Drosophila melanogaster: one gene and its partners. The protein of the gene in region 3 interacts with the protein of the main gene of each other region in a pairwise test. Each region holds a gene or a part of one and is shown on either strand. Other genes may lie near its edges.

The links.
Region 1: the proteins of Nrt (region 3) and Fa2h interact in a two-hybrid assay, tested with the Drosophila melanogaster proteins (one large-scale study listed by BioGRID).
Region 2: the proteins of Nrt (region 3) and Cpr92F interact in a two-hybrid assay, tested with the Drosophila melanogaster proteins (one large-scale study listed by BioGRID).

What each region holds. Positions count from the first base shown.
Region 1 is NT_033778.4:7,449,766-7,453,524, forward strand, and holds the start of Fa2h (fatty acid 2-hydroxylase), read right to left. Parts: upstream 1,789-3,759; 5' UTR 1,681-1,788; intron 231-1,680; exon of another isoform or gene 15-230; 5' UTR 4-14; coding exon 1-3.
Region 2 is NT_033777.3:20,667,460-20,671,218, reverse strand, and holds the start of Cpr92F (cuticular protein 92F), read right to left. Parts: upstream 1,649-3,759; 5' UTR 1,489-1,648; coding exon 1,477-1,488; intron 84-1,476; coding exon 1-83.
Region 3 is NT_037436.4:16,764,051-16,767,809, forward strand, and holds the start of Nrt (neurotactin), read left to right. Parts: upstream 1-2,021; 5' UTR 2,022-2,490; intron 2,491-3,759. UniProt on the Drosophila melanogaster protein: May mediate or modulate cell adhesion between embryonic cells during development.

The DNA of each region.
Region 1 (3,759 bases), on a different chromosome or scaffold from region 3:
CATCAATTTGGCAACTGCAGTGCGAAAAACAATCGGATAAGACTTTGCTGTTCCTTTGCGAGCATGATACTCTGCCACTGATTATCTTTGGAATTAATTACTTTGCGTGCCCAGCAGCAACATGATGCCATATTGTATCGGACACGCTCAATTAAATATATAATTCACCTCCTCTTAGAGTTATTTTGTACACAGATCAAATGTATCATCCCCAAAAAACTGAATTAAATAACCCTCATTGGCGCAGCTAAATGAAATATTTCACACAAATATATTTTAAGTAAATCTCCTTAAGAACATATTGTTTAATTAAAAAAAAACAACAGCTATCTATCTGCTGAGATAATTGGTTACGAATTCATAATTTTGACCTTGATGCTTATGGTATTTACACAAATAAAACGACAATGTATTATAAATAATCCTGTTTTTATTAATAGTTTTTGAAGGGATGCAGCATTTCCTACATATTTGATATGCGCACTGTATAGTATTTGCCATTTTCATGATTCATAAAAAAATTTCACAGCCAAACCTACGATAGCGTAATCTATTGAAACCAAAATATAAGTATAGAAAAAGTATCTGCACCTATTATCTGCATTCCAAGGTATCCATTAAAGTCAAAGTTTTGCTTATCAATTAACTTCTATCCGATTTCTAGTGACCCTAAGGATATATTATTTTGACTTCCTTTTAGTTGAAGAAATTTTGGATTGATACCTTCTATTCTGGCGTTGAACTTATAGGATTCCCTAGTTGGGTGTGGGAAAGATTTTCGAAACACCACACTTGCAGAACATTTGTTTAATTGATTCGGTAATAGATGTAATTACAGCGATTAGGGCGAATCAATTGCAGGTCGTAATTGCAACCTACAGAGCAATGTTGGAAATGCACTGGAGGCATTTCACCCAGTGGCCGTCAGGGGCTCAATTGAACTTGGCATTCCCGAAGTGCGCCAGATGTTTCTTTCCGATGATGCGTGCCCATATGGGATCCGCACAAACATTTCCATTCTTAACGGCGCGGGCACTTTGCCTTTTGCCTACGCGCCGCACTGAGCGTCGCCATTCCACGGACGAACTTGCTCCGTCAATAGTTTGCCTTATCAATGCTGATAGGAAAGCCTGTAAGCGCGGGGATTTGGTTTGGATGAGAGGGAGTAGACGGCTCGTTTGTCAAAGTGGCAAGTGGTAAGTCCCCAAACGGGGTGCCACGTTAGGATTGAGGGTGGAGCAGGTGCTCTGACTCAACCCCGGGCTGGGGCTGCGTCACATTGATTAATAGTGTCTATCTGACACATAGACACATATGCGGGATAGGCTGGGCACTGTCTGCCCGACCTCTAGCACCTATGGTCTGGTCTGTCCATTGGCGGAGCCATCAAACGAAGCCCAACACTCGTGTTTACACGCGGCTAATGGCGTTTGTTCGGGGAGTGATAGTGGCAAGCAAAGCTTTATCTATCCGGGTTAGCAGTGCCCCGAAAACCTGTGGATCGGATACCGGGCTGGGTCGGATGATATCTTATCGCGGGCGATGACAAAGTATCGAAGATACATAGTTGGGCTATCGTCCTAAACTATGGGCTAAGCTGCTTGCCACACTTAGTGCTACTTGCACCCAGGCAATTTGCATAATTTCAGACCCTCGGCTACCACGGGATTATTTATTTACCGAATTCGCACTGCTCTGATCAAAACACTGGGCTCTTGACTCCAGACCGGGTTCCCAACTGTCGGCAGAGCCTCTGACCGCACGCAACGCAACGCAACTCACGACTGAACTATGGCCCACCCACCCAACACATCCACATCCGTGGCGTCGACGCCGACGTCGCTGCTCAGTGCTATCTTGTGGGCTCTAGCCGCTGCTAGTTACCGGCACCTCTAGCCCTAACCACTAGCCGTCGGTGCTCCTGACGAAGCGGACCACGCATCGGCTACGATAAGATAAACCCGGACAAGTTCCAGTTGTAGTTCCAGATACAGTGATCCACGAAGTGGGAGGACTGCCGGTAATGATTGTACCGATCCGAACTCTTATCGTCCAATTTGCAAGGCACCGTAAATGTAGCTATCGCTGCGTGTTCCAATATTCTAACAATCCTGACGTAGATCTCGATTGCGTTTAACGAGCTGCGGATAACTATTGCTGGAGCCCTTATCAAGATTCCTATACAAATTGTTCCCAGACGAGTCACCACGAATCGGAACTCTGATTTCGGCAATCGAAAATGAATCACCCATGAACATCGTCCTCGGCGAGCTTCCTCGGTGCTTACCACGATATGGAGGTACTTCTTCGCATGAGTATGTACTCCTATTGGGCACTTGACTCTCGAATCAGTCCTGATGTATGGTATCATTGCCCTCATGTCAAGAAATAATTTTCTACTGCTAATATAAAATCACGTTGGTAACTTATGATGTTTAGATTCCGAGGCACGAAAATGTTCTTTAAGCAAAGGTTTACAGCAATAGGACCTATAAGTTCGAAAAAGTCCTTATATCATAGATCTAATTTTTTAAATTATGACCCTTGTATATTTCCAATCCATTTTAGGATTCATTGTAACCTAAGTATAGTAAAAGTGTGGCATTTTTAGTTCTTACATATGTATATCTTATTTATATATTATCTATATACTTAATACTTAATAAATATGTTAGTTATGAAAACATCCTTTCACAGACATAACTTCTTACGTTTTCTATAGAACATTTATTACTGATACAAATCAAAACCCTATTTAAAATGGTTTTGAGATTTAAAGAGTTTCTCATGCTCATGATATATGTAACATAGCATAGTTAAAATATTAATTTAGTACATTTCATTTGCCAGTAATCGAACCAAAAAAATCTTTTCGAGATCCCAGTTAAGTGCCAGTGATAGTGTGGTTGGTAATGCTTAATCGTCTTTTTGTAGTGAAGTCGATTGAGTGAGCAAAAGTGAAGCCTAACTAACAGGTTTCGATAAGCCACAATAGCTCGGTTCAAGCCACAAAGGTGAATTTGTAAGGCATCTCAATGGGTTAGAAAACCGCGGAGTAACCCAGTTATAGTTTGTATATGTTTGTTAGTATAGCACTGGGTTTAAGTAGACTAATAGATTCGTATAGGGATATATAATATATTGCTAGTTCGCTGGCGAGTTGTGTCCACTTTTCCCTAAGGGGAATGCAAGTCTGTGCCAACAACTTGACGTTTAAGGGCCAAGCCAATCCCCACGGACACCATTTTAGTTATTGTCCATGGCAAGGGACTATATCGAAGAAGTTAATTATACACATGTCATCGCATCAATCGCCTTCAAAGCCACTAATATCATACAGGTCGAATGGGAATCGAATTGATTGGCTTGAGTGCGGGGTCACCTCGATAAGTTTGCTTATAAGTTTGAGCAGGAAGTAATTACTCTCTAATGTGACAACACCCATAACCATATTAATCACGTGTGACACCATAATAGAATAGGTAAGCAATAGAGGATAAAACACCCAGCGCTTTTGAAGGATGGGACATATTTATGCCATGGGAGTCCAGTCTGTGGCCTTTTTCTTGGCATTTCTAGTATACTCATACTAGTCTGTGCCTTAGAACTAGTTTGATTAGAAATGTTCAGCGTATTTTCTTTTCAAAAATGTCCATTTTAATCCCAATGCTTGCAAGTCTTATAAAATACATTATCAAAACAACAAACTTAAATACAAATTCATACAAAATGAAAAATTTCAACATTATCTTTAAAACT
Region 2 (3,759 bases), on a different chromosome or scaffold from region 3:
GGGTCCAGGTGCTGGTACTGTGTGGAGACGGCTCCGTGCCAAGAGGCGGACACCGTCGAGATCAGCAACGCTGCGGCAATAAACTAAATAAAAATGGGAAATTATTTTTTGTAATTTTGATGTAGCTGATAAAAAAAACTAACAAATTTCAATATAGCTTTACAGAACTGATTTTTATATATTAAATATATATATAATAATAATTAAAAATCTTTTTGATTTTGCCTATGTTGAATTCCGATTAGAGAACTTTTGTACCTTCATCTCTTTGAATATTTCAAATTATTTAACATATAGCTTCTACATGTTTCTCACAGTGCAGAAGGTGTTAGGCGTGGGATTATGTGACTGCTCAATAATTACTCGTGCGGTAGCCACCGCCCAAAATCGTTAATCGCAGGTGTCACTCAGTGGAAGCTTATAAGCCGCCTCTGCTAACCTAATTACAGGCTTTTCGCTTTTCTTGCTCTTGCGCCAGCGTTTTCCTCTCGCTTTTCTTGCCCCACACGCCCATCTTTTCGCTTTTCTCCTGGACTCGCTTCTCCTCTGGATTCGCTTTTCCAATGGTTTCGCTTTTCAGAGCCGCGAAGCGCAACCGTTAGATTTGATTCCGAGATATGTAGTCAGTAGTCGGTCGGTCGGCCAATATTCGTTCGAAGATATTACCGCATGCGGCGCGATTATGTACGATATTATGTGTCAGCAGGTGAGTGGGGCAGAAAGTGGTGGAAAAACGGTTGAATAAACTGTCCGACATGCAACATGTCAGCGGCTTATCAACGGGATTTCGCACGGAGTTCCATGGCAGCTGATGGTTTGCTGGGTGGTACGTTTAGCATGACGTGCCATGGTAATTGACTCTCGGATGGAACTGAACGATGCACAGGTGCCATTTCGTTCGGAGCGGAATTTAAGCGAAATAAATTGAGTTTACAAAAGCAATGTCAGTTGAATTTTAAATTAATTGCGCTATGACAGATTAAAAGAATGCCAGGAATTCATTCAAACTTAATGGCAAGTCACTGTCAAACTAGTGTTTACTTTTCGAACGGCTGACAAAATCCAATTTAAAGATTTGGTATGCCACACTTCTCTCTTGATACCGATTAACATATCCCAAAGATCGAAAATGAAAAAGCAGTTCTAACTAGCGAAACCTGGCTGTGGACTTACATAGTTCCATTAAACTACGATTTTAATGAACTTAAGCATTTCATGATAGAATCAATCAATTAAATGAACTTTTGCCCACTTTTATGGTAAAATTTTGTAACTTTAAGAAAAATAAATTACATGCAGAGACGTTAATCACTAATTTGTAGAACAGAAAAAGTTAGAAATGTATCTCAGTAATTCAAGCACGGAATCCAAATATCCTTTTCTCCTCACGGTAATCTACACACTCCAACTCATATTATTTATAACTTTAATCCTCTTGCTCGGCGTTATCCTTTCGATCCCATGGCGCATACTTACGAATGGCTTCATTTTAGCTATGATCACACGATTGAGCTTCGAAAAGGAGTTTCGGGGACACACTGCGGATGAACGGAAAACTAACTACACACGACACACGGGCACAGGCACTGGTCGCTGGACGCTGGTTGAACCTCCTAGAACCACGACTAGGACTGTTAACGAACTGTGCTGACTGCTGGCTGGCGGCCCTAATATATACCGCCCGAGACCAGCGAGCCCGGAGACTGGGGATTGGGGAGCAGAGACACTGCAGCCGAGACTCCGGCTGAGACGCCGGCGCATGCGCAACATTGGTAACAGCAGCGAAAACACCGCAACACCAGCAATATCGGGCGTTCAACAAAAGCCAACAAAAGCCAACGAGAGCAAGAGCAGAACAATGTGTGGTACCAGTTCCAGAGTAATCGAATTACCACTTTAATCGGGGCTCGAAGCGGGGTTTGGCCAGAGCCGAAGTGGATATCGCAGCCGAAGAATGTGTATCAATCGCTTGCAGTGGAGTGCCGCTGCAGCATGTTGCTGGCCTGCAGTTGCACTGGCAACATGTTGCTCGTGCGTTTCCGCGCTGCGTTTGTCACTGTGGAAAAAATCACAGCTGCCATGACCTTGCTTTCAACGCGATTTAATTGCCGGTATTGGTTTCAACCTGGCTTCAACATTAGGCGATTAATGTATTTTATTTGGTGTTGTTTCGGGTGCTAGTTCTTTGACTTCCGCGGTGCGGACAATTAGCACTCATTATTTGGCCACGGGATTAGGCCGATCTTATCGATCAGTGCCTTTCCAAAAAACGCCCAAGAGCCCCGCCCCAAGCGCAACGCTCGATCAAATTAAAAAATTCTTACCCACCGCTTGCAACATGCCCCAATGGTGGCCATAACGAAATGTGAGCTGGCCAATTTCTGGGCGTTTGCCTCTTTAATCATTGAACTGCATCGGAAAACGAAACGAAAACTTTGCAAATTAAAAAAAAAGGAGAAACAAGAGCACTGCCCAAAGAAGCAAGCGGAAAACAAAAGACAGCAAAATGGATTTTCTATTCACTTTTGGCCACCGCTGTTGCCACATGTTGCAGCATTTCTTTGCTGTCCGCTAATCTAGATGTTGCACTCCCAAATGCACTCATGCACTCGGAAAATCAAAATTATTTAACTTAGAATGAGCTATCCTTAACTAAGAATAATCCCTAAGAAGAGAAAATGATATTCGTCGAATGCTAGGTGAGTGAACGATTTCGAAAGAAATGCTGTTGTAACTAATTTTTGTATGTATCTTAGTTGAATATCCCAACTTCTTAACAATTATTGAGTATCTTAGTTATTAAAGAGAAGAGATGATTTTTTTTCCCCAAAATGTTATTATTTTTTTATAGCTCAGTTAAACATATAAATATATATATATACATAAAGAAATAAATATAATTTAATGTAATGAATTTCGATTCCGTATCCGAAATCCGATTGCATTTTTTCTGCAAGTGCAGCAGTGAGCCTCTCTTGTCCGTTGCAATATAATGAGTGCTTGCACCCTGGCTAACTTTGATTATTTGCATTCGATAAGCGAAATCGGGAGGGCGGTTGGCTATATGCGCCTATATACTCGTTTATAGTCTATATGGCACACTCCATATTCTTGAGTTCGTATCGGCAACTTAATTTGTTTGCCTTTGCCTGCCACCAATTTAATTTGAATAAACCAAACCAACTTCAAACTGCTCTTTTGAACCCGCATGTGCTGTTGTTGTTGTTTTTATGCGCGGGCGGGCGATCGGTTTGGGGCGTGTTTGACATTTTTGCGGTATGCGCAACATTATAAATTATATTTTTTGCCGGTGCCACTTTTGTTTTCATTTTATTAGCTCGGCCCACTGTCGACAGCTGTGGGCCGACTGCCTGAATGAATGCCTCGACTGGCTCAAGTGCAATCCACACATTTGTGGATTTGTCGAGGTGCCCACCTTCAGCCACCTTCAGCTTCAGCTCCAACCCGACCCGATCCAATCCAGCTCCATTTGCGAACGGCGTCTGTAATTATGGTCTTGGCTCTCAATGCGAACGCTACTGGCCGGGTGTCGGGCATATGAATTCTGATCGGTATCTGGGTGAAAATTAACTAATTACCTGGTAATAACGCGTATTATGCAATCAGAATCAATTTATCTAAATGCATTCCTAATCTAAGCGTAGCCAGACTTGGATGTATTTTAAAATTGATATCTTTCAATGCTACTGATCACATCAAATGTATGTGCTAGGAAATCGGACAATAAAATTTAATTGA
Region 3 (3,759 bases):
TGAAACCGAATCATTGCTTGATTGAATTACATATCGTGGGGTTAGTGGTGCAGAGAACAGAACTCCCTCGAATTTCTTGAAGTCTTCGTTTTCGGTTTCCACACGTTTCCGGTTCAAATTTAAATTAAACTTGTTAATTATTCCATCCGAAGAACAACCCACACAAGACAGGAACATGTGTTCACTACTCCACTTCCTTTCCTTGGGCGTCCCACATTTTGCGGGTTTCCTCGTTACCATTTGCGATCATGATAATGATCCGATGCGATCATTTTGATCCTTCCCCTTCGACGTGACGGGCATGCGTCAAACTCAAATACGTATGTAACTCGAGCCAACCTTCACTTTTATTTTCTAGTTTCCTACCATATTTATTCCTTTTTTTCGGTAGCAGATGTCGCCTAACATCATGTCTAATGAAATGCTTCAGTAGCTCCACAATGAAATAGGGAACCCTCATAGTTCGGGGCGTGAAAGTTGTTGACATGTGGGTAGGAATTCCGTGGGGTAATACCTTTGGAAGAACAGGGGAATCGACTTCTAATACATTTCTAGCACGTGTCGTCATGGCTTCTGTTCTAATAATTCAACCGACACAAGTTCAATATAAATATTAAACTATGTACATACATAGGTATACAATGAAAATATTGAAATATTGAAAAATATTTACCAAACACTTTAGTTAAATGGGTAGCCTAATTGTCTGAAGACATATCTCCTACATTAGTTGATTACTCATAAATCATAAGCGTAACATTTTTATAAAATAGAGCACATACTATATAGTAATTGAAAGTATAATACTGGGGGAGTGCCCTTTATTAAATAAACTGCAACAACGTATGTTTTTCTCATAACTGTGGATGAATCATTCTGTTGATTTGCGTATCGCTCAAAATAAATGCATTAAAATCTTCTTTATAGTTTTCATTGCGCAAAAGTTGATTGAAAGAATCATTATATTTTGTCTTTCTTACCAAATAAGTGAATTTTCTCAGGGGTAGGGATATGAAACCCTATGCGAAAAGGGGTGTTGGGTTGGAGGTAGCCAAGGGTAAGGGTTTGTGCTGTAATGACGCATCAGGACGTGGAATTTCCCTACATATGCCAGATGTTCCCATCGGCATAAACTGCGCTTCAACACTTGCCGCCAGTTGATAAGCATTTGAAAACGAGTTTCAAAAACCGAAATCAAAACCTTTACTCAAACAAAAGTGCCATATCAACAAACTTCTTTCCCTTCCCCTTGCCAGCTTCCCTCTCTTTTTAAGAAAAATTAATAACAAAGAAATATAGGGAGATCGGCATCTACTTCTATTTGAAGCATGTACAACTCAGAAATTTTTAATAACTTTAAGTTTTATATTTATAAAGAGCTGTAGACTACGTAATACCTCTACTTTGGGTTTTGGGTGTTGACTTGAACAATTTATAACAATTTTACCCTATGTTCTCCTACATGTTCTATAAAGTATCTGATCTGATCATAATATCTGAGGTGTCTTGTTTCACTAACAATAAACGCTTTACCAAAACTACAATACCTTTTTCATAAAATCACCATCGAACATTTTGCACTTACTGTACAGGAAAACAAAGCCGCTACTTTTACTGCTGCTTTCCAGCCACCCCTATGATTTATAAATTTACAATGCCGGCTGCTTCCAGTTCCAGTGCACAGTGGTCCAGTTCGAACTAAATCATAAACATGAATTATGATCATGTCTAATAAGTTTAATTAAATTACTTATAAAATATTACAACAATTCGTTGTGTAGGTGTTTTCAATGCTAATCACTGTTGCTTGACATAATTTGTATACTATTATAAACTTACAAGTTATATCTTAAATTATGTTTTTTCTTTTTTTCAAGAGAGAAACATGTTCTCGCCGAAAACACGTTCCACTTCCAGTTCCCCGAATAAAAACAAATCCAAGAAAATTAACATTAACAGTTGCTGTTAAGACTCTGTTAACCGTTTCGAAGCCGCATGAATTGCATGACATCGAAACGGCGTCAGTCAGTTTTGTTCTGTTTTGGAAGCCGCACGCGTTTTCCCTCGCTCCGGTTGTGCTCGCTTTCGCATCGCACACACACACACACTCTCGCCGCACAGACGCGACCAAAAGAAAACAAAATCAAATTCGGCGCAAACAAGGAATAACTTTTTATATTCCTATTGTGCATCGTATGTTGTATTAAGTGCAAGAAATATATTTACACAAATCTAACAAAAACACCGCAACTACTTTTGTGCATTTTGTTTTGCTCTGTGCCGAAGGAGCGGAGAAAAGAAAAAACCGCAACAAATCAAAAAATCTGTGCGTTTGTTATACACACCTAAGTGTCCTGCAGGAAGGACATCGGGTTCATTTACGCCACCCGCTGTTTTCAAGGACCAACGGATTATTCCCAATTGCCACATTTCAACAAGTTCGAAAAAAGCAACACACATTTTACACAGTGTTTGCGAGAATTGAAAAAGGTAAGATTACAAATTCGTGTGAAGGACCTCGGGGATTTGTAGAAGAGGAAGAGCAGTTGAAAACAAATCGATGAATTGTAAATGAAGTCAAATTTGTCTGCCAACTTTAATAATTTAACAAGTGAATATGGACACTTCAAACTTGAAAGATTAAAATGTGATTATAATTGAATAAAACAATTTACATGCATATTTATTTAGTTTTATACAAATGTAAAGATTTTGGCCAAAAAGTTTATTGAAAAACGCTAATGCCGTAGCAATTGAAATCTGAGTTATTTGTGAAAAGTAGAAGATAAAAGATATAAGAGCTTAATTTGAAAACTTTTAAAATATGTCGGTATCCGATCTTGACGGCTCTAAATTAATTTATAATCCTCCACAATCCATAATTACCGAGGAAACATCTTACCAAAACAATTTAAATGGCGTCTCGAAAAACATTTCATTCCGAGCTCTTAATAAGATTAATGGGGCTTCACGATTCATTGATATAATCCCTCCGTAACGAAGCACACCCACCCCATCGTCATCATCATCTTACGCGTCTTGAGGTCTAATGGCTCGTGTCAATGATCAGACGGACTCTTTCCCTCAATAATTCCCATTTTCCATCCTTTCTAATGGCTTGTGTCGCGGCTCCGTATGAAAAACATAACCATTTGACATAAATCACGGCCCTGACAAATCCTTTTGAACATTTCATAAACATAATGTGTGTTAATCCTCAGATATTTCAATCCATCAACATCCAGAGTTTGGTGGATGGAGTTGCCCCAAAAATAGCGCGACCCCTTTGGTATCATTTGTATGCACAGTCAGACGCCGGCTTGAATAAATCCCCAAATAGTCATTCCGTAAACAAATGCAAAGGAAATTGTTGAAGGGATACGGATACCGGGAAAAAGGGCAATAATTCAATGATGAATTAATAGGCGCATGGAAATGATCACGAATTCCCGGGATCTTCAGAGAAAGTTCGAGTTGGCAGCTGCTGCTCTTCGATTCGCTCCAGAAAAAGAAAAAAAGACTTCCGGGGAATCGAGCAACTAAAAAGTGAGAAAAGCATCAACAAAGCCAAACAGAGGCACAACAAATGGGGTAGGAAAACGTGAAGATGCCACGCTGACGCAACATTTGCATTCGGAAAGAGATTTATGGAGGCAACTCCCCCGCCCATTGACTTTTCGCTCCAACTTCCCTCATTGTTTTGCCAAGTTTTCAAAAGACAAGAGCCGACATGATGATGTTGATGTGTGTGCCTCAGTA